Linked DNA regions of Elephas maximus indicus. The protein of the gene in region 4 interacts with the protein of the main gene of each other region in a biochemical or structural test. Links are inferred from orthologs where the notes say so. Each region holds a gene or a part of one and is shown on either strand. Other genes may lie near its edges. The genes, in order: IPO11, UBR7, TRIM32 and UBE2E1.

Region 1 (7,893 bases), on a different chromosome or scaffold from region 4:
CATCTTTACAGAAGCCAACTGCCACGTCTTTCGCCCATGGAGCAGTTGGTGGGTTCGAATCACCAACCCTTCGGCTACCATCTGAGTGCTTAACCATTGCACCACCAGGGCTCCTTATGAGAGGCTTACATATGTTTAAATTCTGCCTAGTGCCAGTTGAAACTGAAAAAGAGGTAACTGAGGAAAATTCGTCACTGAGGAGAAAAAACCTGAAGCACAATTAAGAGACAGACACGTAGAGGAAGACATGTTCGCAGGTGAAAGAGGAGAGAAAGCAATGAAATTCCCACCCAATGCATTTTCTCTGTGAAGAAGATAATATTATCATGGAGAGTAAGGAGGGAAGACAGTAGGTTAATAGCCATCATGGAAAATAGGAGCAGTTACTAGCCACACAAAGTTTATAATTGTGTGCTTATCTGTAATTAGCCTGATATTTAGAAAGTCAAAGACCCACCAGGCTCGCACGTGCACTAAATGTGTCTTACCGTGCTGAAATTAACTATAATGCCCATTTGGTACAAATAAAGGGGGAAAAATCATTATCACCATTAGTAACACTAAATTCAGAGGAATGAGAACACACACTTGGGAACACATATGCACATACATACAAAGGTTAAAATCCTAAATTACCAAACCAAACCAAATCCACTGCCAGTCGAGTCGATTCCATTACACAGCAACCCTGTAAGACAGGGCAGAACTGTCCCAAAGGGTTTCCAAGGAGCGCCTGGGGGATTCACGCTGATGACCTTTTGATTTGCAAGCCGTAGCTCACCAGGGTTTCCCTTAAACAAATCAGCTTTCCCAAAACAGAAATATTTTTATCTCTGAAATATGCATATTTCTGGAAAAATCTTCAGTATATTTGAACTGCCACATGTCCACCAGGATTATTCTACATTCTAGTTTGGTCCTGAATGCAAATACATATATACTGTCATAAAATCTAAATATTTTTATATTAATTACAAAATAATCTTTACGTATTTGTTATAACAGAACTTCCACTCAAAATGTTTACGGTAAAAAATTTCTTCTGCTTTAGGCACGGAAAGTAGGGCAAAGACAGGTCCCTGTCCTAGGGCAATTAGTGCATGGCCACAAACCACAGCTATAATTAAACCGTTTGCAGTATTCCCTGTGCTAGGTTCCAGGGGAAGAATTACAATCCTATAGCAAAAAGGAAAGGAAATTCTCATTCTAATTTCACATAAATCTTCCTCAGTGAAGAAAGATGTCAGAAAAGATCTGATGCAATGGATGTCTCAGAAAGCAGAGTCACTCTCCTTAACCTGAAGCCTCTGCACTAAACAGAGAAGTTTGAAATAACGTGAAAATAGAGGAGCTGCCTTACCCAAGAAAAAAAATATATATATATTATTGCAGTAAAGTGCTCTTGCTTACTCCCTCCCGAAAAATAACCAAATTTCAAGGGCACTACTGCCCTAGAAAGGAGCCCTTGTGATTACAGTGCTCAGAAGCTAACCAAAAGGTCAGCTGTTGGAATCCACCAGCCACTCTGCAGAAGAAAGATATGGTGATCTGCTTCTGTAAAGATTAACCCATTGCCATGGAGTCAATTCTGACTCATAGGGACCCTACAGAACAGAGTACAACTGCCCTAAGGGATTTCCCAGGAGTAGCTCATGGATCTGAACGGTCAACTTTCTGATTAGCAGCCAAGCTCTTGACCAGTATGCCACCAGGTATTCTCCACAAAGACTGCAGCCCTGGAAACCCTATGAGGCAGTTCTACTCTGTCTTAAAGGGTCACAATGAGCTGAAATTGACTTGATGGCAATGGTTTTTTTTTGGTTTTTTGTTTTGTTTTTTGGTCATACTGGAGAGGAGGCCTGATGGCACAGCAGTTAAGCGCTGACTTTCTGGCAGCAGTCTGAACTCACCAGTCGCTCTGTGGGAGAAAGATCCAGCAGTCTTGTTTCTGTAAAGATTTACAGGCTTGGGAAACATATGGGACAGTTCTATTCCACTCACAGGGTCACTAGGAGTTGGAATTGACTTAAGAGCAATGGGTTTAGTTTTGTTGTTGTTGACCACACTAGAAATGAGTTCCTTTAAAACGGGAATGGGGGAAGTATGTCATGTGCCACCTTAGCACCAGCAGGCAATTTACCAATTCTAGCAATTTAGTCAAATCACTTTGAGATAAGAAAGGTAAATCCCTCACCCACCATGTCATAAAATGGAGAAAAATAACAAATGCAAAAGACCTCAAAACGTATTTACTGCATGAAATACCCCCAAATATAAAACTGCAAGGAGTCGCTGGGCTTGAGCGTTGGCGACCATACCTCAGCATGAAGCTCCTCTCATATGTACCTTTCTTTACTTTTCCATTAATAACAAGGGAAGGGTATAACGCTTAAAGCTTTCACAGAATTGCCATTACAGTGTCATATAAGCCAAAAAAAAAAAAAAAACCCACTGGTTTTACACTACAGACCATCACGTTCTCTCAAAATCTGCACTACCTATCCCGCAAGAGCAAATGCATCATCCTGGCCCGCAACCGGAGCCCCAATGGGTATCCTCCGCTCTCCTCATCTTGGCACACGGTCCTTGCCTCCCAGCGCCCTATTCCTCCGCGGCCATGCTTCTCCACCCCGGGCTCACTCGGTGCGCGCCCAGCTCCCAGAGGTTCCTACGGTTATGCAGAAAGCCACGCCTGCAGGCCGCCCTCGCCTCGCCACTGCTATCCCTTGTCCCCGATAGCCCCACGTTCCTCGGGTCTCCGCTGCCCAACCCACTCCTCCCTTCCGCTCGCGTGCGCTCGGGGACTGTCAGGCCGGGGCCTCACCGTTTGATTCGGTCCGGAATGGCCCGGCTCTCCTGCTCCTACTCCCGAACACGAAGCGGCGTCGGTTGGTCCCACGCCCCGCGCTTCTAGTCCACACGCCGCCGCCTACTGATGTCGAAAGCCGCTTCTAGGAACACGCCATGTTCAGCGTCGCAGCTCCAAACGACGCGGACGCGCGAAAACTGCGTCACAGGCACCAAAGCGCATGGAAGGGCAAAGAAAGAAGGCGATAGGCTAGGGGCAGGAAGAGGAGGGAGGGGCTTCCTCATCTAAGGCAGAGGCGTCCGTTGTGGAAATCAGGGTATGCGCTTGCTCAGTACTTGTAGGTGGGACCCTGGAAGCGGCCAGATCCGTAACCATAGAAACCGTACTTTCTGTTGCCCCATTCCCAGGAAAATCGAGTATCGTCTTGGTTGGCTGAAGCTTAAACCAGGACTATGTCCCCTTTCCTATTCCACTCATAGGGTCGCTATGAGTCCGAATCGACATGACGGGAATGGGCTTGATATTCTACACGTAGGGAGCTCTGGTGGTGCAACGATTAAATGCTCGACTGCTTAACCATAAGTCTTAAAGGTTCTAAATCCCCCAAGCGGCCCCAGCCAAGAAAACTCTATGGGGCAGTTTGACTCTGTCGCATTAAAATTTTTTTTTTTTAGCAGCAAAGAAAAATTATTACAATATAAGTTCCAGAACTTGCTGGGGGCTCTACTCCATAGGGATAGTAAGGGCGGAATAATTTTAAAAGGAAATCCAGTCCTGCCTGCCTCTGCCTATGTTACTAGCTGGATGACCTAAGTTTTCTTATCATCTTGTCATTAAAAAGAAAAATTAGGAGTGTTCATAAAGATCAATAATATTTGGTGACATTTATTGAGAACTTAAAGTGTGCCAGGTACAATTCTAAGATCTTTACGTGAATCATCTATTTTAATCTTCAAATCAACCCTATGAGGTATATGCCCCTATTATGCCCATTTTACAGATGAGGAAACTGAAGCGCAGAGAAGTAACCTGCCTGAAGTCACACAGCTAGTAAGTGACAGTGTTAGGATTCGAACAAGGCTATAATAATAAGCCCTGTATTACAAGAACGTTCATCACACAAGGGCTTTTTTTTTTTTTAAGTAAAAAGATAAATATTCCCTAAATTACCACCAAGAAAGAGATTAAATAATCCACATATAATTAAATATAAATTGGTCATTAAAAATGACCACTTAACTTTTAAAAATGTTTAAATGTATTTGTTCACATGTTAACATTCACAATGCATCATTGAGTGAAAAAAGTGGTTTACAAAACCGTATGTTCAGTAAGGTTCCATTTTTGGAAATAAATATGTATAGGAGGGTTTGAAAGAGTTTTATATGCCATTGTGTTAAGTGTCTATCACTAATTGGATGGTATTGTAGGCATGTTTTATTTTCTTTTTGCTTGACTGTATCTTCTGATTTTACTGAAAGGTAGCACATCTCAAACTTTAAGTGTGCATAGAATCACTTGGGGATCTTGTTAAAATACAGACCCTGATTCAGTTGGTCTGAGATAGGGCCTGAGAGTCTTCATGTCTAACATGTTTTTAGGTGATGCCAGTGCTGCTGCTCCATGGATCACACTTGGAGTAACAAGGTATAAAGAATGTGTAGTAAGTAAAAAAATAATAAATTACCTAATTCAAATTAAAAGGAAGAAATTGGTTTAGAAAAGTAAATCTTAACCTATTGGAATAATAGATGCTTTAGGAATCTAGGAAGTGGAGTAGTGGTTAAGTCTCACAGTCTAGAAGGCTACAAGTCGAAATTCAGGGTGCCAGCTCCAGGGGAAGGCTTTCTCTCTCTGTCAGCTCTGAGGGAAGGTCCTTGTCATCAATCTTCCAGTCTTCTCGGTGGAGGAGCTTCTCAGTGCAAGGAACCCTGGATCCAGAGGACACCCGATTCTCCTGGCTCCTGTTTCTTGGTGGTGTGAGGTTCCCCTGTCTCTCTGCTTGCTTCTCTTTTTTTATATCTCAAAAGAGTCCTGCCTCATTAACATAACTGCCTCTAATCCTGCACTATTAACATCATAAAACCAAACAAACCAAACCCGATGCCTTTGATTCCATAGTGACCCAATAGGACGGAGAAGAACTGCCCCATCGGGTTTCCAAGGAACAGCTGGTGGATCTGAATTGCTGACCTTTTGGTTAGCAGCCTTAGCTCTTAACCACTGTGCCACCAGGGCCCCCATTAACATCACAGGGGTAGGATTTACAACACATAGGAAAATCATATCAAATCACAAAATGGTGGATAGCTACACAATACCGGGAATCATGGCCTAGCCAGGTTGACACATATTTTTGGGATACACAATTCAATCCACGACAGGTGGTGATGAGGATTAATAAAATAAATCATATAAAATGTTTACAGTTCAATACTTGGTACATGAAAAAAAACACACTTAGAATAGTGGCACATACTAAATATTTAATAAAAGTTAGTTATAATAATATAATTATTTTGAAGTGAAATGAGTTGCATTGTCATTGTACTTATTTTCTTGGAATCTACTTGAGCCTGAGGGGTGAGGGATGCCAATGTTTCAATTAATTTAGCAATTGCTTCAACTTTCTCCTTTCCTGTTTCAATTATTAACCATACGTTGGGGGAAACACGGAATTTATATTTCAGAAATATCCTGAACACACAATAAAAAAAGAAAAAAAAATATCCTGAACAGACACAATACCAGTTCAGAACCCCAAAAGACTTTAATTTGTATGCATTTTTTGCCCTTTCCTCCAAAGAATCTGGGAATATGGCAATGAAATGCAGTAGCATGAAATTATTTATCAAGCTATGCATATTGTTTTGTATGTAGTATATGACTAGATTTTGGACTCATAGTAGCTGTAGATGGAACTTCCAAGTGTATGGAAAATTTTTGCATGTGCATTTTTCTACGTCGTAGACTTTTTCCTTAGATCCCCAAACCAAAAACCCATAGTGGTTGAGTCAATTCTGACTCATAGTGGCCTTATAGGACAGAGTAGAACTGCCCCGTAGAGTATCCAAGGAGTGCCTGGTGGATTCCAACTACTGACCTTTAGGTTAGTAGCCATAGCTCTTAATTACTACTCCACTTCCTAGATTCCTAAAGGGTCCATTATTCCAACTGCATGAGCCACTTCCTTGATATGGTTCATGAATTCTATGAGATCCTGTAGTGAATTATAGAACCCAAAGACAGGAGGGAGAGTAGTTGATATTAGAGATGATGGAGTAGTACAGAAATTTGGAAGAGTTGGAAATTTGGGATTTCTTTAACTTTGTGCTTTGTGCGGTTCCTTAGAAAAGAAATTATTTAAGTGAGTTTTATATACAGTATGATCTCAACTATGTAAAAACATGTGTTGCTAAAATACTAAAAGAAAATTAAAAAAAAAATGCCAAAACACCCATCAAAGCTATCAGTGGGTAGTGAGGTTATAGGTAATTTTTTCACCTTCTTTCTACTTTCTGTATTTTCTAGTTTTTTTTTTTAAGTTAAGCTTCTTCATTTGTTGTTGTTGATGATGTTATTTTGTTTTCAATGTGGTAGTCTTATCTTTGGAGTCCAGGAAACATATTAGCTTTATGTACTACATCTCTGTGATTAATTTTTACTTTGGATATATCTGATTCTTAAATTCATGATAATCAAAGATTTAATTTTTTAACTATATTTTAGAATCTACTGAATTTTACATTATATTGATGTTAAAAGGTAAAATTCATTAAAACTGTATTTAGGATGTCTCAACTGGTATGTTTTGTTTCCTTGCCCATCTACCAGTGAGGAAGGTGTTTGACTGATGTGACTGGAATTGGAGACCAACAGAGCCCATAGCAGGCAAGACGGTATCCTGTTGTGGCAAGAGCATGGTGTCCCACTCCCACCTCTACTACTTGTAGGACTTGAGCAAGTATTTATAATCTCTATGGGACTAAATTGTAAGGAGTCCTGGTAATGCCGTGGTTAAGTGCTTGGCTGCTAACAAAAAGGTAGGCAACTGCTCTGCAGGAGAAAGACTAAAAAAAAAAAGGTAGGCAACTGCTCTGCAGGAGAAAGAGTACAGCCTTGGAAACCCTATGGAGCAGCTCTACTGTGTCCTATAGGATTGCTGTGAGTCAAACTTGACTTGACGACAGTGGGCTTTTTAATGAGACTCAATTTTCTTGACTATAAAATAGGGTAATCATGGTTGGGTTACTTGCCCTACCAACTTCACAGAGTTTCACTGAAAATCAAATTTTTTTGAAAGCGCTTTGAAAACTGAAAAACACAATATAAAACTAGAATCTATTTTAGAGTTCTCAGTACCATAATACATTTTTTGTTTTGCTAGGTTTGTAAAGTTTGAAAAACATTTTGAAACATATATATTATTTTACGGTAATGATATGAAAACATGCATCTAACAGGTGCTTTTGGAATATTGAGTTATCATTAATATTCACTGACAATGCTTAGACTCATGCTGGTATTAAACAGAGGCTATACTCTTCTTAATTAATTGCACCAATTTAAGATAGTATTTATGATGACCTGAAAAAAAATTAGAACATGTTTATAGAAAAATGTTGCTTATGATATTCAAAATGCATTATTTTTCCCAGCCAAATTTCATTACATTTTTCTGTTAACATTTAGACAGAAGAGTAGAAATTAAGTCTTCCGGTACTCTTTGAAATTGTCCTGCTTTGTAAAGCAGCACATCATTTTAGTATTTAAATAACAATAATGTTTAATTGTTCTAAACAAATCCAATGGCTTGATATTAGATTTCAATTTTATTTTATCTTGCCCAGCTGGATTATATCCCTTAATCATAAAACCCCCTTAATCATAGGAACACGGTATTTCAGTGCTAATGAATTGGTGTTAAAAGTGTGAAATTTAAACATTCTCAATGTTTTTATGACTTTTCAATACATTAAACATCTATAAGGAACTATTTTATATAAGATGCTCACAAAATTTTATTTTTATTCTCTATTACGCCCCTTTTTTAAACTTCAATGTATTTATTACAACATTTGACG
Region 2 (7,561 bases), on a different chromosome or scaffold from region 4:
TCTACGTACACGTAACTATATCTACATACATGTAAATAGATGTAAAACAATGGCAGAGAAGAATGAGTAGCTTCAGCTTGTACCACAGTTATATCTTAAAAGGCCCTCTAGAAAAATTACCTTCTCTAATTACATTATATAAAATAATTATATTAAATGTCACTAGTGCACAACTACTTTTAAGGGAAAAACAAAATTAAGAAAAAAAAGTGCAGCTGGGAAAGGAGCATTCAGTAACAATCTCTGACTGGCTTTACCTTTTCGTATATAGCTCAAAAAGTTTATGACTTCCATGGCATTCGTAACTGCAAGCTAGGCAAATCCCAGCTGGTTCTTCTCCCTCTGGGGTGCACGTACTACAGGCATATAGTGCTTGTCTCTTTACTGAGCCCTAAAAGACAGCCCCAAAATGGAGAGAGAGAGGATGAATTAATAAAATATGGCATAGTTACCTAATACGTATACTAACATCTGAGAAATAATTAAAATCAGATTACCTGTGGTCAATATCTTCCTGTAAAAACCACCGAGAAGTGTTGCATGTTTCATACCACTATACATGTACTACACTATGCTTATTTACATACAGTTTCTTCTTAAAGTGATAAGAAGTCTTAAAATTTCAGTCAACTGTGAACAAGTTGTTCTGGTTAATCATTTTAGCACATGAAAACACAGGAGAATGCGAGTACCCAGTTATATCACACCTTAATTTTGGAAAAGGCTTATAATTCTACAAAAGAAATCAATGCATTCTTAGGAGATGCATGCTGAAGTATTTAGAGGTGCAGTGTCATGATATCTGCAACTTCTTTTCAAATGGTTCAGTCAAAAAGAAAAAAAAAAAGGAAAGTGTTAGAGATAAAACAAGGAATGTATGTGAGAGGTATACAGGTGTTCATAATCTTCTATTTGCAGGTTTAAAAAATTTCAAAATACAAATTTGAAGGGGAAAAAAGGTAAAACTTATGCTTTTAGAAAGCGTGATAATGGTTACCCTCCTGTAGGGAGGAGGGAGAGACACAGGGAGGCTTCTGGGATGCCAGTAATGTTCTATTTCTTGATCTGGGTGGTAGGTATATGGACGTGGTCACTCTTTTTCAGAGCCATACTCATGTTTTGTGCAATTAGCCATTAAAAAAAAAACACAAAACCACTGCTGGATTTTTTTTAGCATAATTTGCCATTATGCTACAATAAAGAAAGAATTTTAATTAAAGCTAACTTTCATAAAGCTAACTACATTTCAAAAATAGTGTACAAACAGACTTAGGACCTATCACCATTTTTTAAAAGGACAGTAAATGTTGTTTCAGTGGTGATCAGAGGTTTTAAAGTACCAGCCAACAGCTGGATGCCAGGTTTACTCAACAATCTAACCACTTTACAGTGCAAATTCAACTTGGTCATTGATGACAACTGGCATTATGATCTCAGTGCACACCACATGATGACAGCAAGTCTCTCTCCTCATCCCCCAATGTTCCACTCGACCCTCCTGTCTAGGTAACCTTCCTCCTATAAATTCACACTCCTTGTTTCCTCCTGTCCACCTTTCTCCACTTTGATACCTAGAAATATAGGATGAGTCGCTGAACACTACATCGGACCCTCTCGAACCCTTGTTCACAACGTCTTCCAAATGTCAAATTTCCTCTTCCAACATATTCTTTCCTTTTCTCCTCTCCCTGCCCCGCTTGCCAGTGTCACCTGCTGTTCTGGCTCCAGTCTATTTCCAAGGCCGGCAGACTACAGGCAGCCATGGCACTTGCTTCATTTCACCACAAAAGTACAAGCATCTGCCAAACTAAACGGCAGAGAGGAACTAGCTGTTCAGCAGCCCACGCCACACAGGGCAGCTTTCAAATCCAGAGCTCTTTTAACCCTGCTTTGACTCTCCTGATAAATATCTAGTGGTTTTGATCAAAGATCCTATAGAAGTATCCTGATCAAAAGGAAGAAAATGCAGAACAGAATTTCAAAATGTCATGAACTCCAGACTTTCTGGAGCTATGGAGGCTGGATGAACCCCTGAAACTATTGCCCTGATATCATCTTTAAGCCTTACATCAAAAATATCTCCTGAAGTCTTCTTAAAACCAAGCAATAGTTTAGCTTAACTAGTAAAAAAGGTCTGCCTTGAGCATTATGCTCTTTTAAGAACTACCTATATGGGATCAAACTGACAACGGTAACTTGAAAAATCAGATAGGAAACTTAGGAGGCAGTGAGTTTATGTTAATGGGGAGCAACTCAGAAGAGGAGGGTGAGACTGGCTGCACAAGTTGAAGAATGCAATCAATGTCATCGAATTGTACACGTAGAAACTGTTGAATCGGTGTCTGCTTCGCAGCGTGTATTCTCAACAACAAAATAAATAAAAGTTTAAAAAAAAAAAAAACCTAATGGTTCTGTTCTTAATAAATGCCCTTAGAATGGGAGAAGTAGAAACAAAGATGTCTGGATTTGAGAAGTCACGGGGATGGTTTCCTAAGAAGTGGCTGGGCTACCAAGAAGACACTGGAGATGGACTGAGCAGCCGCTCCAGGGTCAAGCCTGGAGAATCCCGAGCGCTGGATGGAGGAAGACTGCGGGAGGAGAAAGGCTGGGCACAGAACGACAAAGGGGCCCTGGGAGGATAAAGGCGCATCCGGGCCTGGAGCGGGAACCCCAGAGGCGAACATCGGCCCTGGACCAGCCCAGGGGAGACGACCGAGGCGCCTGGAACTGGGAGTCTGGCCGGGAGGGGTGGCTCAGCGGGAGCCGGAGGGGACTTGAGGCCCGGGCCGCGCGCCCACCTGCGAATAGGAGCACTTCTCGGAGTCGCTGCCGCCCAGCACAGCGCACGCCTCATTCTCCAGTTCCTCGTCCTCCTCAAGGACGTCGACCAACGATACCACAGGCTCCAGCTCCGAATGCCGCCCAGCGGAGCCCTCTGCTCCGGCCATCCTCAACTGTCACCCGGCTCGCAGCTCTGCCCCGGCGGAGGCGGGAAAAGCGGCCGCGAGAGGCGTAGCCGGAGGAGGCGGGGCCTGAGTCCCGGGAACCAATCCCCAAAAAGGGAAGTGTCCGACGGGGGAGGAGCGACTCGGGACAAACGGAAGTCACTCCTCTCCCTGCTCCCGCCCGCGCCCGCAGGGGCCTGATTTCCGCTTCCGGGTGACGTGTTCTTGTGGCGCGCGCTTGAAGCTCGGCAGTCGCTATGGAGCTGCTAGGGGAGTACATAGGGCAGGACGGGCAACGGCTGCGGCTGCGGGTGTCTTGTGAGGCGCCGGACGACGGCAACCCTTTGCAGGGCCTGTTGTCGGGGGTGGTTCAGATGAGGGAAAGGGTGGCCGAGCTCCTTGGTCCCCTGGTACAGCGGGAAGCGCAGGACCCGTTGGCTGCGGCTGGAGACGAGGCCTTGGACGGTGAGTTCTGAGGCGAGGCTGAGCGGCTGGGGGGCGGGGCGGGGCGGGACGCTCGGGGAGACTCTCAGGGGAGCCTTGTGGAGTGGCGGACTTGGGGAAGGGGAGCCCTCGATGGAAGGAGTACTCCCTCTAAAAATTGTCGGCACTCACGGCCATGTGTATCTAGGCTGTTTATATTGAAGTGTTTTCACAACTTTATCCCCCAGAACGTGCTGAACGCGCCTACTCTGTCAGGCACTGGGCTGAGCTAGAGAAAGAATGAGGTGAATGGAGTCCCCTTGTGGAACTCACAGGCAGATGAGGGACTAGACAGGTAAACACTGTATTAAGGAGTGAAAGTATAAATCCTGTGCCTTCTGTAACTATTGCAAACCGAGAGAAGGCTTCAGAGAGGGCATCCCTACTTCTGATCTCAGTGTTGAGGATGAAAGGAGTGTTACCAGGTGCGAGATGGCTCACGTGTTTGGAAGACTGCAAGGTATCGCAGATTCCGAAGATTGAAACAGACTTCAGTTTAACAAGTCTTAACTGAGGAACTCCTTTTTTATATCCTGGCTTTGTAGGTGGTTGTTTGGAAGTAAAAACGTGAAATTTAACTGCATTAACTTTTAACAATCTTGTCTGGAATACAAAAACGGGTGGATTTTGACTGCCTGAGCTGAAAAACCTAAGAACTAAATATTGGAGTCGGGATTTCTTCCATAGATGAGCTTAAACAGTACTGTCCCTCTTGTTTTCCCCTTGATAGTTCTGGATAATGTGGAGAGATCAATTCAGGACATTACACTGAGTTCAAGATAATAGATTGTTTCCATGAGTACGTTAATTGGTGGTTGCCACATATATTGAGAGTTAAGTCCTGTTTCTTGGCTCTCTAATCTGTTAAAAATGTTATAACGTAAGAACAAGAGTATAATAGCTAGAGCTATTTTTTAAAAATCTATCATTACTTATTGGAAAATAACTACCATTTGTCCTGCTGATAATAAGTCAGTAATAGGAGGACATGTTTTTATATATTTAATGATCAAGTTTTTTGCTTTTGCAAAAAACGATAGAGCTTAAAATGATGGACTTTATGTGAATTATATCTCAAAAAGTATGCAAAAATAAAAATTATAACAGCTGCTAAAAAAAGTGACAGAATGCAACCCTTGAAAGACAAATAACCCATTTTTGAAATGGGCAAAACATTTGAATAGACAGTTCTCTAAGATATACAAATGGCCAATAAGCGCATGAAAAGCTGCTTAACGTCATTAGCCGTCAGGAAAATGCAAATCAAAACCACAGTGATTAATGGTGATGGGTGAAAAACGTGATGAACGTGTTTGTATTTAATGTCACTGAACTGTGCACGTGAAGATTGTTGAAATGACAAGTGTTTTGTTACCTATATATATACTGTCATTTTAAGAAGTTGAGCTACCACTTCATACCTACTAGGATGGCTATAGTGAAAAAGATGACAATAACAAGTATCAGTGAGGACGTGGAGAAAGTGGAACCTTCATACCTTGCTGGTGAGAATGTTAAATGGTGTACCTGCTTTGGAAAGCAGTTTGGTTTTTCCTCAAAAAGTTAAACATAAAATTTCCGTATGACCCAATAATCCCACTCCTAGTCTGTATCCAAGAGAAATGAAAACATGAATTCACACAAAAACTTGTACACAAATTTTCAAAGCAATATTATTTATTATAGCCAGAAATTGGAAACACCCCAAATGTCTATCAACTAATGAATGGGTAGACAAATGTGTATCCATCCAATGGAACAGCACTCAGCAATAAAAAGAAATGAAGTACTGATACATGCTACGACATGGGTGAACCTCGAAACCATTACGCTGAATGAAAGAAGTCAGACGCAGAAGGTCGTGTATTGTATAATTCCTTTTATATTAAAAGTCCAGAACAGGCAAATCCATAGAGACAGAAAATAGATCAGTGGTTGCCAAGGGCTGGGGTGGGAATAATGACGAGAGACTGATGATGAATAGGGGCTTTCTTTTTGGGGTGATGAAAATGTGCTAGAATTAGATAGTGGTGATGGTTGTGCGACCTTGTGAGTGTACTAAAAAAAAAAATAAAGACACTTTAAAAGAGTGTTATAGTATGTGAATTATATCTCCAAAAAAAAAGTGATAGAAAAGTTTTAGGTTATAAATTTCTAAAAATTTTTAATCATACGTATTTTGAATCTGAGATATGCATGGTTTTATTAATTCCAAAACTGAAATGGTTTCTATCAACCATTTTAAAGATCTATATTTCTTTTGAACCATTGAACATTTTATCATACAACAAATATTTATTTTAAAAGGTGATGGTGAAGATGATGCAGAAGATGAAAATAACATTGATAACAGAACTAACTCAGATGGACCATCTGCAAAACGGCCAAAACCACCGTCTTAACAATAGCTTTTATGAAATTTAAACTGAAAGACTGCTACTGTCCTAATTATCACACCCTGACATTTCAGGAAGACTTGTGCCCTAATTTGGAAAAGCATCTGTTTTGTTCTCCTGGGGGAGTTTTGTCAAAGAAAAAGCTTCTGTTTACAGCAAAGATATAATAAATGCTTAGAAATAAATCTTGAGTGAGAAAGAAAATTTAGACTGTGGAAATAAAATAGCACCGTTGAATTAAATGTGTGATGTCTATATCTTTTAACTTCTGCTTCTGTTATAAAAAGTACATAACATTTCAAGAACTAACATGAGCAAGTGGCAAAAGTTGGGTATTATAAATGTAAGTGTGGTGGCTCTTTACACGGAGAAGGAAAATTAGGGCATAGAGAGAAATACAGAAGAGAAAGAGCCTTTGAGAGAGAACCAAACCAAAAAACAAAACAAAACAAAACCGTTGCCGTTGAGTCGATTCTGACTCATAGTGACGCTATGGGATAAAGTAGAACTACCCAGTAGGATTTCCAAGGAGTAGCTGGTGGATTCGAACTGCCGACATTTTGGTTAGCAGCTGTAGCTCTTAACCACTGCACAATTAGGACTCCTGAGAGAGCCCCAGACCAACCAACCAAACCCATTACGTCAAGTCGATTCTGTAGGACAGAGTAGAACTGCCCCATAGAGTTTCCAAGGAGCGCCTGGTGGATTTGAACTGCCGACCTTTCGGTTAGCAGCTGTAGCACTTAACCGCTACACCACCAGGCTTCCAAGGAAACCTTAAATCCACACTCACACCCAAAATGTAGACATCTTACCACTCAATAAATATGTATTAATCACCTGGTTTAACTTGTGCCTTAAGGGCCAGATGGGAGGCCTTAAGTTAATCTGTTGACTAGAGCCATTTCCTTTCCTCTTGTAGCCATACTTGCGTAACAGGACTATTGATTTCTTTTAAAAATAGATATTCCTAAAATAGTGTGTTCCTTTTCTACTTGTTAGTAGGACTAAGGCATTTTGATTTACCGTACATCTTTCCTGATTTATTTAGATTGCTAAAGTGCGAATGAATGCAAAGATATCAAGTAGCGTGTACCCTAATGAAATGCAAAGCCATAGAATTTTTCAATTGGAAATAACCTTAAAAATTATGGTTTACTTCAGAAATAAACTGAATCTCAGAATAAGTATTTGCCCTGAGTTACACAGCTAACCGTTGGCAGAGCTGAGTTACATACATAGCCTTTCGCCATGTTTTTAAGCTGATAAAAAGAGAAATCAAATTCCCTTGCTTTGTCTAGTATCAGGACTTCAGCTCAGTTACTGATTATAATAATCTTGTATCGGTATATGATTCTTAAAAAAACTTAACCCTATAGAATTAAAATAGATCGTATTTTTAAATTGCTAGCAGAACTTTGCTCCCTGAGTATTTTATGCTTCCTTTGATCAGTAAATGTATAAAGGAGAAATGTCAAGATAATATTGGTGCTTGTGGCCCAGTGTTTTGAGATTCTGGGTTATAGGTTTGATTGATCTTTTCCTTAATTTTCATACTGATTCAGATTGTAATACCGTCTTCAGAAGCGGGCAGCCTCTGTGACAAAAAGGATCAGTTTGAAGAACCAGTGTGGAAGCGGGCCACCTCTGTGACAAAAAGGATCGGTTTGAAGAACCAGTGCGGAAGCGGGCCACCTCTGTGACAAAAAGGATCAGTTGGAAGAACCAGTGTGGAAG
Region 3 (7,928 bases), on a different chromosome or scaffold from region 4:
ATAGGACAAGTCCTTGTCCAAGGTCACACAGTAAATTAGCAGGAGAGTAAGGACACTGGACTTCAGGCCTCTGATTCCCAGGCCGATTCAATGCTCATTAAATATTTCCCTTGGGGAGGGTGAGGTATTCCAGCTGAGTCTCTTGCCCTCAGATCCAATCCAGCTGTTTCTGTGCTGGCTTCAGCAATGCTTTAAGTAGCTTAGTCTTTGAGCTGAGAGAGCCAGTGTGGCTATTCTGTCCCAGGGGAAAGAAGCCCAAAAGAGATCATTCAGAACAGTAATTACTCTCCTTTGGTTTGATGGCCTTCAGCTTCCTGCCTTCCCTGCTATGCGGTTGTATTTTTTTTTAAGCCAAGGGCCTCCATACCTCACCCTCTGGTCCCATGCACCTCATCCTGCTTGCTAACCTAAGCTCCTCCCCTTATCCACCCATTGGTCCTGGTCTAATAGCAAACCAAGAACAAAGTCCACGGTTACTCCCTACCTAATCATATAGAATACCCCTTCTAGGGTTCTGTTTGATATTCACTGATACCAACTGGACAATCCTCCTTTACTTTGAAGGGGAATGGGCTGAGATAATAAGACTAAACAGGCCCCCACAAAAAAAAGAAGCAAGGAAAAGAGAGAATATACAGCTACAGAGATCTGGATATGAGCCTAGCTCTGACTTCACTGCTAGCTATGAAACTTTGGGCAAGTAGCTTCCCTTTTCTAAGCTTTAGTTCCCTCATGTGTAAAACTGGATATAATAGAGACACTTAATAAGACTGTTGTGAAAACTGGAAAAGTGGATATAAAAACTAAAAATTGCCAAATTTATTGTATATTTGCTATATGCCACACACGGGGCACCCTGACTCACTTCACTGAATTCACACAATAATTCTATGATGTAGGTCCTGTTAAGAACCCCATTTTACAAATGAAGAGCCAAGGCAAAGAGATTAAATAACTCACTCAAGATTACTAAATCAGAAGAAACAGAGCCAGCATTAGAACCTCAGATATGACTCTACAGTAGGGTTTCTTAACTTTGGCACTATTGACATTTTCAGCTGGATAATCCTTTGTTCTGGGGGCTTTCCTGGGCATTGTAAGAAGTTTAGCAGCATCCCTGGCCTCTTCCCCCTGGGTGCCAGCGGTACCCCAAACCCCTATTCTGACAGCCAAAAAACATCTCCAGACATTGCCAACTGTCCCCTGCTGGACAAAATCACCCATAGTTAAGAACCACTGCTCTAGAGACTTGCAAAGGATTAAATGCTGAACCCTGAGCTCCCTTTTTCTTGCCCTTCTCCCAGCCAAAACAAACACCTCATTCACAAAGCCACTGACTCTTTGGTTTTTAAATGGGTCCTAATTATTATTATTATTTTTTATATACGGGGTCACTATGAGTTGAAATCGACTCGACAGCAACAATTTCTTTTTTAATAATATGATCTAATTCAATCCACTTTATTTAGCTGATGAGGAAAATAAGGCCTGAGATAATGTTTCACTCATTTCCCTGGACATCTCACACACTATCTGCTAGCACCTCCATGGTGCAGAGGTAGGGGTAGGGAAGACAGGACCTAGAAGGATGGCCTTGAACAGTTTTCTGCTTTATCCTCCCTTTCACCAATATCTTCTCCCCAAAGTCTACCACTTTCAGCTGGCCCAGGGTCAGAGTGGAGTTAGTGGTGTACCATGCCAGCCTCATGACAAGGGATATTTGCTGGAAAAGTGAAGGAGATTCTGCCCCTCTGAGGGGAAGTCATGCTTCTTCAGGAGTCCTGATCTCTGATGATCTATAACTTCATTCCTGAACCCCTGAACTCATACTCATATATACACTTCCATATTACTTCTAGGTTCTTGGGTCCCCAAACTCCTTTTGCTTCCCATGTAGAGATTTCAAGAAAATTCTTTTAGCAGCCCAAGTCGCCAACCCACAGACCTATTCAGAGTCCTTTAATTCTGCAACCTGTTCAATCCTCTCCAAATTGTGTTCCAAACCATCTCACAATACAAGAGTCTAACCTTTTGGGCTCTACATTGCAACCTTCGCCAATTCTTCACCCATGCATCCCAAATTCCTTTGATAAAGACCCCTTAATCCGTTTCCAAATCTCTGAAGCCTTCAGCCCTGTACCCCAACTCCTTCCAAACACCCTGATCCCACACCTCAGATTTCTGCTCTCTCTTGATCTTATCCTCCATTCTCTGTATTCTACCAGGCACTGTGCCATCCTCAAACCTTGCTCCTTCTCCTTTCACCCATCCCATGTCATGTGTTGCTTTCAAATCTTAGCCAGGTCTCTTCTTTTTTCTAACAAGATGTTGCTTCCCTCTGATTCCCCCAAGAACTCCCCACTTCAATTTTTCCCAGATCCTACTCAGGAAAACCCTCCCTCTTTAGCAATTAGGATCGCCTCAGACCCTGCTCCTTTTGATCTCAGATCTTGCCCTGCCCAAACAAATGCCTGGCGTCCCGAGATTTCCTCGAATCTCCTGAGATGTTGCACCCTAAATCTCATCAGGGACCCCGATTCCCTCTTATTTCCGAAATCCTGCACCCCCAAACCCTTCCAAGGCCCTTAGATTCCCCGAACCTACCAGATGCTGCACCCCGTCTCCTCCGGGCCCCCGTATTACCTCATACCTCCTGAGATGTTGCACAGCAAGTCTTCGCACCCCACCCCACCCTCGCCTCCGCCCCAAGCGCTGCATCTCCCCTGAGATCTTCAGCCACATCGAATCCCTCCGGAGCCTGCCCCTCACTGCCCCACCCCCACCCCCACCCCAGAGCTACTCCTCAGATCCGATCCCCAGACCCTGCTAGTCGGGCGCGGGCCCAGCCTCTACACGCCAGCACAGCCCCCCTCCCCGCCGCTCAGCCGTTGTCCGCGACTCGGGCCAGGGTCTCTTGTCCCCGACCCTCCTGCCCGCCCCCTACCTGACCTCCCGCAGCTCCGACGCGTCCACCGCCGCCAGCCCACCCGCCCCCGCCCTCTGCGCACGCGCCGCCGCGCGCTCCTTGACCGGCGCCGATTGGCAAAACCGCCTGTCCTTCACTGGGCTCCGCCCTCCCGAGGCATGCCGGGGCTTGTAGTCGGGCTAGCCCTAGCTCGGGGCTCTAGGGCCAGGTGAGAGCAAGAAGTGGGGCTGTAAACCATGCTTAATCCAGTTTTCTGTCTCCATTGTGTAAATTAAGAAACTGAGGCCCAAGGGCATATGGGTCCTGCCCATATCCACTCGACGAGTCAGGAGCCAAACCTGCAGGCGCGTGACTGACTCCAAATCCCAATATCTTAACCCTTTCATTAAAAGGCGATCACCAGGAGTAGTTCTCCTTTGAGCCTGGGCAACTCAGAGAAAAGCCTCTCTGAACCTCAGCGTCCCAGTCTGAGAAAAGGGTCAAGGCAAGAATAAAACTTTCATTCTGGGGCAGGCACAGAACCTGGATTTCTTAGAAGGGCAGTGCCTGGTTTCCCTATTTCTATGACACACTGCTTATTAGAGACAAGCTTATCTGTAAACAGTTTTCTATTGTGAAGGAGTTTTTCACCTACTCAGAAGGGAGGCTGATAGCAGAGGTAGATGCGGAGACACACACTACAGCTCCTGACCCTGCAGACTGAAGGGTAGACCCCTCACAGGTGGGAGGCAGTCTGACCTATTGCTTGACCAAGATCTGCAGCCAGTTAGATTGTTTGAGTCCAGCTACCTGCCCCTGCAGATGACCATACTATAAAGTTATGGATAATACTATATAGTTTTGAAGTAGGATGAGCTTGGGTTTAAAATCCCATTGAGCTATGTGATGCTGAACAATGATAAAACAACCAGCAAGGATTGTAGAACATCCTTTGAGCATTTAATGTCTGACTGCAGGTATGGTGAGCACTTCATAGACATAACTCACTTACTCTTTACCATGACCCAGTGAGAAAAGGCAGCTGATGCCTAGATGGTTGAATAAGAAGGCCACATGCTTATTAGTATCAGAGCCCAGATTTTACTCAGTTCTGAGAAACTTCGCTTTTTAACTTTTTTTGTTTTTAATCTCTAAATGGAGATGAGGTTTGCTATACGGATTAACTGAGATTATAGAAGTATAATGGTTTGTACTTAATTAACGGTAGCTGCTTTTTTAAAAATTAAGATCAGCTCTCACATCCTCCGAACTGCTGGTTTGAAAAGCCTCAGCTTCTGGAATATTGAGGCCAACAGGAGCCTGGCTTGGTGTACTTCATGGCATGTGCTGAACAGGCCTGGTGTTTCTGGACTCACGGGTTGCAATAGAGCTCTGAGGCTCAGGCCCCAGTGATGAACTTGCCATCTGGGGTTTTAGCAGATAGGCCAAGTATAGGTTGAGTTCAGGACTGGACTGAGGAGGGAGCCCAGTCTGGTACTACAGGGCCCAGGGTAGGTTTTGCTCAGAATTGGCAGCTGGTGGGTGCAGACAAAAACCTCAGAGGGCCAGGGGACCAGGGTGCTTGCTTCTCCCACCTTCCTGGGCTCCTGGGAGTTCTGAGGTGTTCATTGCATGTTCAGCAAGCTGCAGGAGTTTCAAGTTGATGACTTCTCATGCAGCATATACAAGGTTGGCCTTAAGTTATCTACTTACAGGTGATCTTCTCCAGACCTGTGAACTCCCTGAAGGGCAATGCCTGTTCGTAGTCGCACCAGCTAGCACAGAGCCCAGCACCTAAGAGTTACTAAGTGAGTCAGATTCTGAAATGTGACCTTAGGCAAATCACATGTCCTGTGTGACCTGGGGCGGGGGGGGGGGGGTCAGTCAGGTAAGAGCTGCTGTTTTTCGAGCACAGGCAATATGCCAGGCATTTCACATATATTGTCACAAGTCGCAATTAGTTTTCTCAACAACTTTTCCAGTAGCTATCAGTAGCACCAGCTTACAGAAGAGGCAACCAAGGCTCTGAAAGATTCACTAGTTTTCTTGTAGTCATTACCTAGGAAGTGGTAGAGCCGGGCTATAAACCCAGGCTCATCAGGCTCATGATATGCCCCATACAGTCACTGAAAGACTATGCCCACATATTATGACACCAGCTATCTTCCTATTTTATTAAGTAAGATTTGGTGTAAGAGCGAAAGAATTCATAGTACTTGGAAAAACAGAATAAAGGGCAAATCTTTGCTGTCATTTTGACCACAGACTGTGAGCCTGCCAAGGCAAGGGCTCTGGGATGAGCTGTTCTGAGCAGAAGCGTCGGAAAAGAGCAGGGATTATGAGTTGGAATCTACTCGATGGCAGTGGGCTGGGCTTCTAGGTTTCTGCCATGTTGGAGACTCAGTGTGGCCTGCTCCATAGAATGGGCAGGGAGCCCCTCTGAATGGGGCCTGCAGTATTTCTCCCAACCCCTGTATTGCAGGTGGGGGATATGGGAGGGTTGCTGTCAAATCATTTTTTCCTGCCCTGAGACCTGAGTTATATCCCCTTCTCAAGTAGGTGGTGGTGGAAGGGAGATTTAGCAGCCTGGTTGCTGAAAACCACAGTTATCAGCCCAGAGTTTCAGTTAAAAACTGTTCATATATATATACTGATGTTTCCCCAATCACAGAAGAGAGCTCACAGTACTCCTAACAGTCTGGGGATGTAGCTCAGGCATGCCATTTAAAACAAAAACAAAACACCTCTCTTTTCCCTTAAAAAACAAACAAAAAAACAGTGTTTGCTTGATGGTGTTTTTTTTTAATGTTTAAATTACTTACAAGTTCAATTAATTACCACATGATCTCACAGTAAAATAAACACTCCGGGGATATCACTCATTTTTTGTCCTGTGGGTTTGCACAACCTGGCACAATATTAGCATTCCTTAGACATGGATACATTTAAAAAATATTCTTTGTGGAGCACTTTAAATATTCTTTATTCAGCACTTTAACGTAACATACTCTGACTCAACATTTAAACCATTCTATGAGTTAAGTATTGTTTTCTTCACTTACAAAGGAGGTTCTTAGCTTAATGCCTTTTTTATTCTCTTCAAAACGGGGATAACAATAACTAACTCAGATGATTATCAGGAGCGAAATGAGATATTGGATGTAAAAAGCTTAGCTCTTTGCTTAACATGTAGAAGTGTTCGTTATATTGCATTTATTATTATGATAAATACATTTACTTATTAAATACATCATTCTGTAGTGAGAAGAGCAAGGGGTTTGGAGTCAGACAGATCTAGGTTAGAATTTCAGCTACACTCACCTGCGAAGTTTGTTAGGGAATAGAGGAGAAGGTGATTTGAAGTAATGCTTGGTAACTTTTTGTAACTAACAAACGTGTAACCTTGGACAAGTTATTCAGTCTCTATTTACTTAACTTTTCTCCTCTGCAAAAGAGGTATAATAGTAGTTGTAGTAGTATAAAATAATAGTAGTAGTATAAAAGTGGTTCCGTGGTAGAATTCTCACCTTCCATGCGGGAGACCTAGGTTCAATTCCTGGCCAATGCACCTCGTGCAGAGCCATCACCAGTTAGCCAGTGGAGGCTTGGGTGTTGCTATGATGCTGAACAGATTTTGTCAGAGCTTCCAGACTAAGATGGACTAGGAAGAAGGGCCTGGGGAGATCTACTTCCAAAAATCAGCCATTGAGAATTGAATGGATCACAACAGTCCGATCCACAACTGAACATAGGGATTGCACAGGACTGAGCGGTGTTTAATTTTATTATGCACAAGGTCACCACGAGTTGGGGGCCAACTTAATGGCTGACAGCCAACAACAACAACCAGGTAGGAATGTTGGGAATGTTAGATGGTTTAATAGATCCAAAGGACTTAGAACGCTGCCTGATAAAGAATAAGTGCTGAGTGTTAGTTACAGTTATCATTTTTTACTGTCATTATCATTATCACTATGACTTTTCTCAACAAAATATTCTCCCCCCCCCCTTTTTTTTTTTTTTACCATTTAGCAACTGAAGTTTGAAGGGGAAGAGACATTTCTTGATTATATAACGTAGGGAAGAAAATATAAGGAGTTAAAACACTAGTACATCCTAACAGAGTTTGTCTGAGTCTAGAGGTTTATAATTACTAGCACTCCCATGAAGTAATATAAAATTATATCTGTCTCTCTGTATTACTTATCTATTACTCCATAACAAATTACAAGTTTGTAGCTTAAAACAACACACATTTATTATATTACAGTTTCTGTAAGTCAGGACTTCAAGTGCAGCTTAGCTGGGTCCTCGGCATCATGGCCTCTCATAAGGCTGCAATCAAGTTGTTGGCCAGGGCTGGAGTCTCATCTGAAAGCTCAACTGGGGAAGGATCCACGTCCAAGCTCACTTACGTGGTTGTTGGCTGAATTCAGGGTTGTTGAACTGAGAGCCTCGCTTCCTTGCTGCCTGTTGGCTAGAGGCTACCCTCAGTTTCTTGCCCCATGGGCCTCTATGTGACAGCTTGCTTCATCAAAGACAGCACAAGAGAACCTCTTAGCAAGACAGAAGTCATGATTTTTTATAATCTAACCACAGAAGTGACATGTCCTCAATCTCTATTCTATTGGCTAGAAGCAAGTTGCTCAAGGGGAGAGGATTATACAGGCTAGTAAATACCAGAAAGAGGGAATCACTGGGGACCATCTTAGTGGCTGGCTGCCTACTTACCTGTCTGCCTAGCTCCCCTGTTCTCTTTTTCCTTTCCTTCCTCCCTTACTTTTTCCTCCCTCCCTCCCTATCTTTTTCCTTTTGTCCCTTCCTCTCTTTCTTCCTCCATCTCTCCCACCTTACTTTCTTCATTTCTTCCTTTTTTCCATCCTTCTTTCCTTTCCTCTTTTGTCTTTCCTCCATCTTTCCCTCCCTTCTTCTCTCCCTCTGTACCTTTTCCCCTCTTTCAGTGCTTCTCTGCCTTTCTTATTATCTATCTAACTGTCTAATTGGTTCTACTTTCTGTTGAAAC
Region 4 (7,868 bases):
GCTAAAAAGGTGTTAAGTTCAGGAAAAGGTTTCAGAGACTAATGAACCGAACTGTTCAAACTGCAATACAATATATTCCAATATAATCTGTCCTTGTGTTATCAATGTACAGAAGGTTGAAAGAGGTTAGCTTGTTTAGAGAATAGGCCTCACAGAGGCAACCCTAAATTATAAATTGAGACAATTGCTTTAATATTAACCATTATCCATTTGTGGACATCAAACAAACCTTTTTGCCCTTGCTTGATTTTTTCTCTGAAAAAAAGCATTTGATTCTTAATCAAGTGATGGTAAATTTTGAAAATCACATGGTGTTCAATGCCTCCATGTGGTAGAAAAAATAATTTAGTTCTGTCCTAGCTTCCTGTAATAGTCATATTCAGGCCCAATAAAGTCAGACAATGTTTAGGGTCCTTCAAAGGTATATCAGTGTTTCTTTTTTTTTTTTTTTAATAAGTCCATGGAAAAATGACCTGTATTAAAGATAAAAGCCCCAGATCTAAGGCCTCATGGAACAGGCCCTTCTTTGCAGAACTTTCTTATTTTTCTGTATAAGGAATGAATATTTTCAGCCAAAGGAGTATAATAAAATGAAACAGATGTCCTGAAATCTGCAGTGAATCCATCCTTCCAGAAATTCTTTATAGAAATTCTTAATTTCAAATCAATTTTTTTTTTTTTGCAGAAAAAGGAAATCCTTTCTACCAGCTATAAAGTAAGATTAAATATATATATATATTAGCAAATGCTAATTTACTTGACAACTGTTTGGATATGAAATTGGCCAAACAGAATGGTCATCTTTATGAAATACTGTTTGTCATAAGCAACTGGCCAAAAATAAGAGTGCTGGAAAGTTAAACTGGGTCTCTTTTAAATCAACTGTAGCCGTGTCCTCCCAAGGGTGGGAATTCTTGTTCTTTCACCTTCTAGGGATCAGCCTATGACTGTAAGCACCTTGATCTTCAAGTACTTTACTTAAAAGCACTTGATACTCTAAAGATGACTTGAAGAAGAGAGCTGGATCATTCTGAGAACCAGGAATAGGTACTAGCAAACACTGGAGCCCCCTTTCTCAAAGCCCGTGGATGTTGCAGTGCTGCCCCACTTGGGCTTCTGTGATTGGACGCATCTTTTAAATGTCAGTTGAGCATTTCTGTTGATGAATTCAGTGTATGTACACGCGTTTGCTTGCACATGCGTAGATTATACGAGCAAGGATACGCAGAAAACTGCCCTGAAGAGGGAAATAAGAGGGATTGGAAGGAAGAGCTGAGGGCTCTTCCCTGACATATCCTTTGGTATCTTTTGAATCATAAAGCATGAGAATGGATTGCCTGTTCAAAATATGTTCATAAATGTAAAACAAATAACCAAGGAGGCTTACTCTCCGGATGGCAAGCAAGGAACTTCAATGGCAGTCATCCATTGGTTCAAGTGAATGTTAAAAATTCAGGTGATTCCCTCCCATTTTTTCCCCTTTCCCAACTATGTCTTGATAATATATTCTTGGAAATATTACCAAAGTTCTTTCATGTATAATATTTGCCTCCAGTGTAATGGATTTTCCAGGACTGACAAAATCATCTGTGGGCAGCAGGGGCCATAGCCACAGTTCTGCCACCGACTCACTGCATGACCTTGGCTTTCTTTGCCTTATTTTCTTCATTTGTAACATGAGGAGTTTGAACTAGAAGATTTCTCAGGTCCTGTCTAGTACTGGAGCCCTGGTGGTGCAGTGGTGAGGGACTCGGCTGCTAACCCAAAGACTGGCAGTTCAAATCCACTAGCCACTCCTTGGAAACCCTATGGGGCAGTTCTATTCTGTCCTATAGGGTTGCTATGAGTTGGAATAGATTTGACAGCACCGGGTTTGGTTTTTGATTTTATTGTAGTGGTAAAATCCTATGATTCCTTGACTATCTTTCACTTCAGAGGGTTTCTTAAGTTCTCACCATACACTCTTTAGGTGCCCTAACAGCATTCTGGAGAAGTAGGACCTAGGTGGGATTATTAATAATTTACTTTGTGTAACAGTTAATAAGCCACCTTCATTACAGACACACACTGATCCTTACAATAGCTTTGCCGGGCCACATAGTGCAGGTATCCCAGCCCTTTAGAGATGAGGAAACTGAGGCTCAGAGAGGTGACTTCAGGTCTTAGGCCTTGTAGTTAATATGTAGAAGAGCTAGAGGGTTGCAAACAAATTTTTTTTTTTTCTCTATGAGACAACAGTGTATTTAAAATAACATGACCTAAAGATTAGACTTTCAAGAACAGTGAATTCTTTTCTAAGCATTTTGAGGTTTTTATACCCGACTCAGTAGGTCATTCCAAAACCATAAAGCACTAACCGGGGGTTAGTGTGTGTTAGAGATAAGAGGGAATGGTACACAAGGGAGGGCTGGTATCCTTCCAGACCTGTGCTTGGGAAAGCACTCCCTATGTAGGAGGAGCCCTTAGATTACATGGTTTATTTCCCCGGGGACCAATCCAACCCAGGCATCAACAATGAAACAGAAAATACCATGCTCAGTTAAAAAAAAAAATTATCATAGTATCTGTTATAGATTGAATTGTGTCCCCCAAAAGTATGTTTTGTAAATCCTGACCTCTATGCCTGTGGTTATAATCCCATTTGGGAACGGGTCGTCTTTGTTATGTTAATGAGAGAGGATTAGTATAGGGTGTGTCTTAAATCAATCTCTTTTAATGTATAAAAGAGATTAAAAGAACAAGGGAAAGAAGCAAGGATGGGGGAAGAGAAATGCCAAGCCACAAGAAGATGGCCCAGGAGCAGGAGCTCAAAGAGACAGCTGAAAAAGAAAGAAAGCCTTCCCCTAGAGCCGGCTCCCTGAATTCGGCCTTCTAGCCCCCTAAACTGTGAGAAAATAAATTTCTGTTTGTTAAAGCCACACATTTGTGGTATTTCTGTTATAGCAGCACTCATAGATAACTAAGACAGTATTCAGGTATACGATTTATAGAAATCAAACTTAAAGAAAAAATATACCACCATCCCAGTCACTTCAGCAAATCAAATTTTTTATTTTCCTGTGATCCTACCAGGTCTTGTCTTTATATATACATATACATATAATTGGCTTTTTTTAATATATATAATTACATATACAATTTTTTTTACTAGTTGTAATCATAGTGCAGGATTGGATTTTAAAGCATCAGAAATCCAAATTTTCGTAAGATTATTTTCTTCACCCCCAACTAAGTTTATTTCATCTGTTTGCTTATTGTTTTCTGTTGAACTTTTTCGTCAGATGTACACAAAGTCTACAACCTGTTTTCTAGGAGATTTTTTGTTTTTAAGGACCATACAGCAGGGAATGTCATTATTTTTGTATGGTCTACCAGGACTCCTGAAACCAAACACTAAGAAAAGTTGTCCGGGGATCTTTTCAAAATCGATATGCATTTTGGTGGTTAAGGGATAGCTCTGACTGGGCAGGAGGCTGAAGTGATGACTACGAGGTTTCCTCCACCTTTTGGACTCCTTGATTCTATGGCAATACCTGGTAGATACAGGTTTCCTAGTAGGGACTGAACAAGAATCATACGCTATTATTGCTTTATGAGTCTTGATGAAGTTGGAGTTTCAGGATGAAGAGTAGAAGGGGTTAAGCTGGGCGGTGAGAATCCTTGTTTTCCTGGTTACTGGATATGTCATGGGCTTTATATCTTGTGTATATGGTGACTGAAACCACTGTTGCCACGGGAAATGATGGTAATTTGAATGAGATAATTTAGAGTGACCCATGGAACTCTGACTAGGCTGTCTCCTTAATGTAAAGATCCTGTGAGTGTGTCACTTGTATTTGGATGGTATATATCTCTTCATTTCCCTTCAACTGAAATGACAAATAGGTGAGAAACTGAAGAGTAATTTGGTGGCTTAATAATAGAAAGTCAATCTTATTTAAAATGCTAAACGAGGAACAATTTAGAAGAATTACTGATTATTCTAAAAATATTATTATTTGAATAGCATTTATGTTGTAGCTGAAGTAGGTACAGGGGTCCCCAGAACTTCCTAGCGAATTTCCAAAAATCAAACTTTATATCCAATGCTGACGCCCAAAAACGCTAAATCTAGTCTAATTCAGTATATGATTTATTCCCAGTGATTTCTCACATTCATAAACCTGTAACCCTCTGCTCTTACCTGTCATGAAATCATTTGTATCACTTTCAAAAACCCACATCACTTTCTATAAAATGTGACGTGAAGAATCTAAAATTTAGAATTGTACATGCCTCATGCCCTGGAGCAGAAAAGTCCCAGTTTGGGATTTTCTCAGAGGCGTGTCTAACTAAACTGACCTCTGCTCCTACCAGGTAAATTGCCAGAGAGAGAAGCAAGTGTCAGCCCAAAGGGAAATCCCTTTTGTGGGATTTCTTTTTTCCCCTTAAACTGATCACTTTTTAGGAGTTTCCATTGCACTCTCTAGTCCCAAGTCTTAGGCATGAGATTACCGTCTTATTCACCAATTTGCCAAACGCCTTTTCCAAAAGCCCTCTGTGGAAAGAACTTCTTCTCTAGTGACCCCCCGCACCTCTATTCCAGCTAGTACCAGCCGCTCCCAGCGCCCCCCGTCTCGGACCAGCTCCCCGTCTCCTACCCAGGATCCAGATCCCAAACCCCGTAAGAGAAAATTCACACCCCTCGCCCCTTCCCGGGCGTCCGAAGGAGGCGCCCGGTGGGGGTGCAGGTGTGGATGGGGAGGGGGACAGGGTTTCCCGGGGTCCCCCGTGTCCTCCCCGTCCCCCCGCTCCCGGAGGTGCAGGGGGAGGGAGCGCGGGTGGGTGGGACCGGGCGGGTGGGGGAGGGGTGAGGAGGAGGAGGAGTGTGTGTGCGAGCGTGTGTGGCTGGGGGAAGCCATTGCCTGTTTAATAGTTGCTGTTGCTGCACTTCCGCTTCTCTCCCAGCGAGAGAGAGACACGAGTGGCCAGGCCCAGCCGCAGCCGCAGCAGCAGCCGCCGCGGCGGCACGGAGGAGCCAGACACAAAGAGAGGTACGGGGATCCCCCCGTCGCCCGCCGCCCCCCGGCCGCGCCGCCGGGCCTCGGGGACACCCCTTGCCGCCTCCCCCAAGCCGCGCCGCCCGGGCCGCCGGGCACGGGGCTGAGGAGGGGCGAGGGGCCGGGGAGCCCCAGGGGTCCGGGGCCCGCCCGCGGGGGATGGGCAGGGACCCCGGGCCGCGTGGGGTGCGGGGGCCGCCGCGTCGGGGGCGAGGGGGGCATTGTGGCTTGAACTGTCAGCGCCGTCCCGGGAGCCCCCCACTGGCCACTGAGGGGGCCGGGAGCGGGGGGTGGGGGAGTTGGGGGAGCCTCGTTTTCCCCCCGGGCGGGGGCCCGCGGGGATTAACCCCTCCGGGGCGGACGAGCTCATTGTTATTCCTTCTCTGCGGAGGCCAACCCCCCCACACACCCGAACCCCCCACCTCCTAGAGGTGGCGATCGGGCGTGGGCTCAGGACCCCCGCCCTGGCCGCGGAGCCCGGAGCCGGGCGGCTGAGGGGCAGGCCGACAGGGAGGGGCGTCGGGCGCGGCGTGGGGGGCCTCGGGCCTCGTCGCCCCTGTCCCCGCCGGCCTCTCCCTTCCCCCACCCGGGCACCCGTTCCCCGCCTCCGTCCCCCGGTTTCGGCTTCCTCTCTTACTCCTCCCGCCCCTCCTCTCTTCCCGACCTCGCCAAACTCCGCTCCCGGCCCCGCAGCCTTGCCGGGGCCACAGGCCCCCGCGACCCCCAGGAAGCGCACAGAACAGTCCGAAGGCCACCCGGCCGCCCGGGTCTTTCCTCCTCGCCTCGTCGAGGCGCCCCGCGCCCCTGCCCTGCCCTCCTCCTCCGCCCCCTCGGCCTCCCCCCTCCGTGCCCAGAGGGGAGCCCCGGGGGGCGAGGGAGGGGCTGCCCTCGTAGCTCCGGACCGTTTCCCCCGGCGTCCTCTACTTGGGGCCCAAAATAAACAAACAAGCCGCGTCCGATTTGCCGAAGCCTTAATGGGCCTAGAGACTTTGAAAGCAATAAGAGGGAGGTGGGCGGCTGGGTGCACCCCTGCCCCGTGCCTTCCTGACAGCACCCGAGTTCCCTATTCACACTGCCTGCCTGGTTTACGTGTGTCTGTTTTGTTTCCCTCCTCCTCCAGGGGCTGTTTGCGGGGTGGGGTGGGGGGTTCGCTATGTCGGATGACGATTCGAGGGCCAGCACCAGCTCCTCCTCATCTTCTTCCTCCAACCAGCAAACCGAGAAAGAAACAAACACCCCCAAGAAGAAGGAGAGTAAAGTCAGCATGAGTAAAAACTCCAAGCTCCTCTCCACCAGCGCCAAGAGGTACCGTACGCTTTTCCACCGGCTTCCTATTTTTCTGAACGCCTCTGCTGCATTCGGTTTAGCTCCCAAAGAGGGTAGCTAAAGTGCCCCTCCTGGTTTGTGTGTCCTTACAAATGAAAAAGGGGCCTGGGAGGCCCTAATTATTCTCTCCGTTGCTTGTTCTGTTTTTCTTTTAATCATTGCCCACATGCAGCCGCTGTGGCTTGCCTCTCGCGTTTCTTGTTGAAGTTTGTAAGAATCCTCATTGCTTTTAATAGTGACCCCCAAACCCCATTTCAGGTTACTGGTTTTATTAATCGCTAATCTGTAACTCTCCTCACGGCTGCCGTCCCACTTCTTAATCACTAATACCTGCCCAGATAACTCCCTATCAAAATGTCTTACTTCCTTCTCACCTGTTGCACGCCTGATCTTTGTTGAATAGTAATTTATCCAAAAATTGCATAAAGAATAAATACATCAGTGGGGTAGAAATTTTAGAAGTTGAAGACAGGATTCCTGATGGAATTTAAAGGGATTTTTCTGGTTTGGAGAGTTGACGCAAATGAATGAAGCAATAAATGATTGTAAGCTGGTGTATTGTAGGTTATTTCTGGGATCCTTAATTTTTTTTCTCTTTAAGAACTTCACGTTACCAATTGTAGGAAAACGCAGTTTTTTCGTGCTGTCTTATGCTGTAAAAATGCTACTATTTTTTTCCAAGTTGAATTAAAGCAGTGGCTCTTTTTCCTTACTTTTTTCCTCTTACATCTCTGGAGAAAGCCACTTTTTACCTCTGTCATCCTTTAGTAATATCCTCGGATTCCTGTGACCCTTAAAATAATCTATAGCAGATTTCTGGGAACCCCCAGACACCTTTTCATAAATCCTTCTGCTCTCTGGTAAACAGTTATTAAACGTTAAAGTGGCATACTAGGAAAACAGTGGCACCCTGGTGGCGCAGTGGTTAAGAGCTCAGCTGCTAACCAAAAGATCGGCAGTTTGAATCCACCAGTCGCTCCTTGGAAACCCTATGGGGCAGCTCTACTCTGTCCTGTAGGGTTGCTATGAGTCAGAATTGACTTGCTGGCAACAGGTTTGGTTTTGGTTTTAGTTTAGGAAGATAGTAAGGAATCTGAATGGTGGGTTAGATAGGGATGTCTTTCTTAAAGGAATTTAAAATAAAATGGAACCTGAGACTTAGGTCTCTCCGTTGAGTAGTAAGCCAGAACTCAAGAGTTCAAGAGTTTGTTTTGTCATTTTCCCTGACTTGAAATTTGAAAAGTTGGTAAAGTGCTGATGAAGGGAATGACTTTTTATTTTAAATAGTGTAGAGATTTAAGTGCTAAGGTGTTTTTTGCAAGGTATTTCCCCTTTTCAGAGGGTTGGTTTGATTGCATCTCAGCTTCCCAGGAGTCCTCATTGATTAACCCAGTGCTAGCTAGTTCTTTAGTTCTTTCAGAACCCTGGTATCTAACCCTGCCCGCTTTGGATGAGGCCTTCCTTAAGCTCCCCAGGGCAGCCTCTGGACTCCCTGATCCTCAT

The links.
Region 1: the proteins of UBE2E1 (region 4) and IPO11 form a complex in vitro, tested with the Homo sapiens proteins (2 studies listed by BioGRID). The link is inferred for Elephas maximus indicus from reciprocal best matches to the Homo sapiens genes UBE2E1 and IPO11.
Region 2: the proteins of UBE2E1 (region 4) and UBR7 form a complex in vitro, tested with the Homo sapiens proteins (2 studies listed by BioGRID). The link is inferred for Elephas maximus indicus from reciprocal best matches to the Homo sapiens genes UBE2E1 and UBR7.
Region 3: the proteins of UBE2E1 (region 4) and TRIM32 form a complex in vitro, tested with the Homo sapiens proteins (2 studies listed by BioGRID). The link is inferred for Elephas maximus indicus from reciprocal best matches to the Homo sapiens genes UBE2E1 and TRIM32.

What each region holds. Positions count from the first base shown.
Region 1 is NC_064820.1:66,951,238-66,959,130, reverse strand, and holds the start of IPO11 (importin-11), read right to left. Parts: upstream 3,005-7,893; 5' UTR 2,825-3,004; intron 1-2,824. UniProt on the Homo sapiens protein: Functions in nuclear protein import as nuclear transport receptor. Serves as receptor for nuclear localization signals (NLS) in cargo substrates.
Region 2 is NC_064828.1:106,785,686-106,793,246, reverse strand, and holds the start of UBR7 (putative E3 ubiquitin-protein ligase UBR7), read right to left. Parts: upstream 3,006-7,561; 5' UTR 2,949-3,005; coding exon 2,799-2,948; intron 392-2,798; coding exon 258-391; intron 1-257. Other genes in the region: EKC/KEOPS complex subunit GON7, read left to right, coding at 3,203-3,410, 5,736-5,830. UniProt on the Homo sapiens protein: E3 ubiquitin-protein ligase which is a component of the N-end rule pathway. Recognizes and binds to proteins bearing specific N-terminal residues that are destabilizing according to the N-end rule, leading to their ubiquitination and subsequent degradation.
Region 3 is NC_064827.1:66,202,653-66,210,580, reverse strand, and holds the start of TRIM32 (E3 ubiquitin-protein ligase TRIM32), read right to left. Parts: upstream 3,001-7,928; 5' UTR 2,945-3,000; intron 2,618-2,944; exon of another isoform or gene 1-2,617. UniProt on the Homo sapiens protein: E3 ubiquitin ligase that plays a role in various biological processes including neural stem cell differentiation, innate immunity, inflammatory resonse and autophagy.
Region 4 is NC_064845.1:15,869,594-15,877,461, reverse strand, and holds the start of UBE2E1 (ubiquitin-conjugating enzyme E2 E1), read left to right. Parts: upstream 1-4,866; 5' UTR 4,867-5,033; intron 5,034-6,159; 5' UTR 6,160-6,192; coding exon 6,193-6,344; intron 6,345-7,868. UniProt on the Homo sapiens protein: Accepts ubiquitin from the E1 complex and catalyzes its covalent attachment to other proteins. Catalyzes the covalent attachment of ISG15 to other proteins. Mediates the selective degradation of short-lived and abnormal proteins.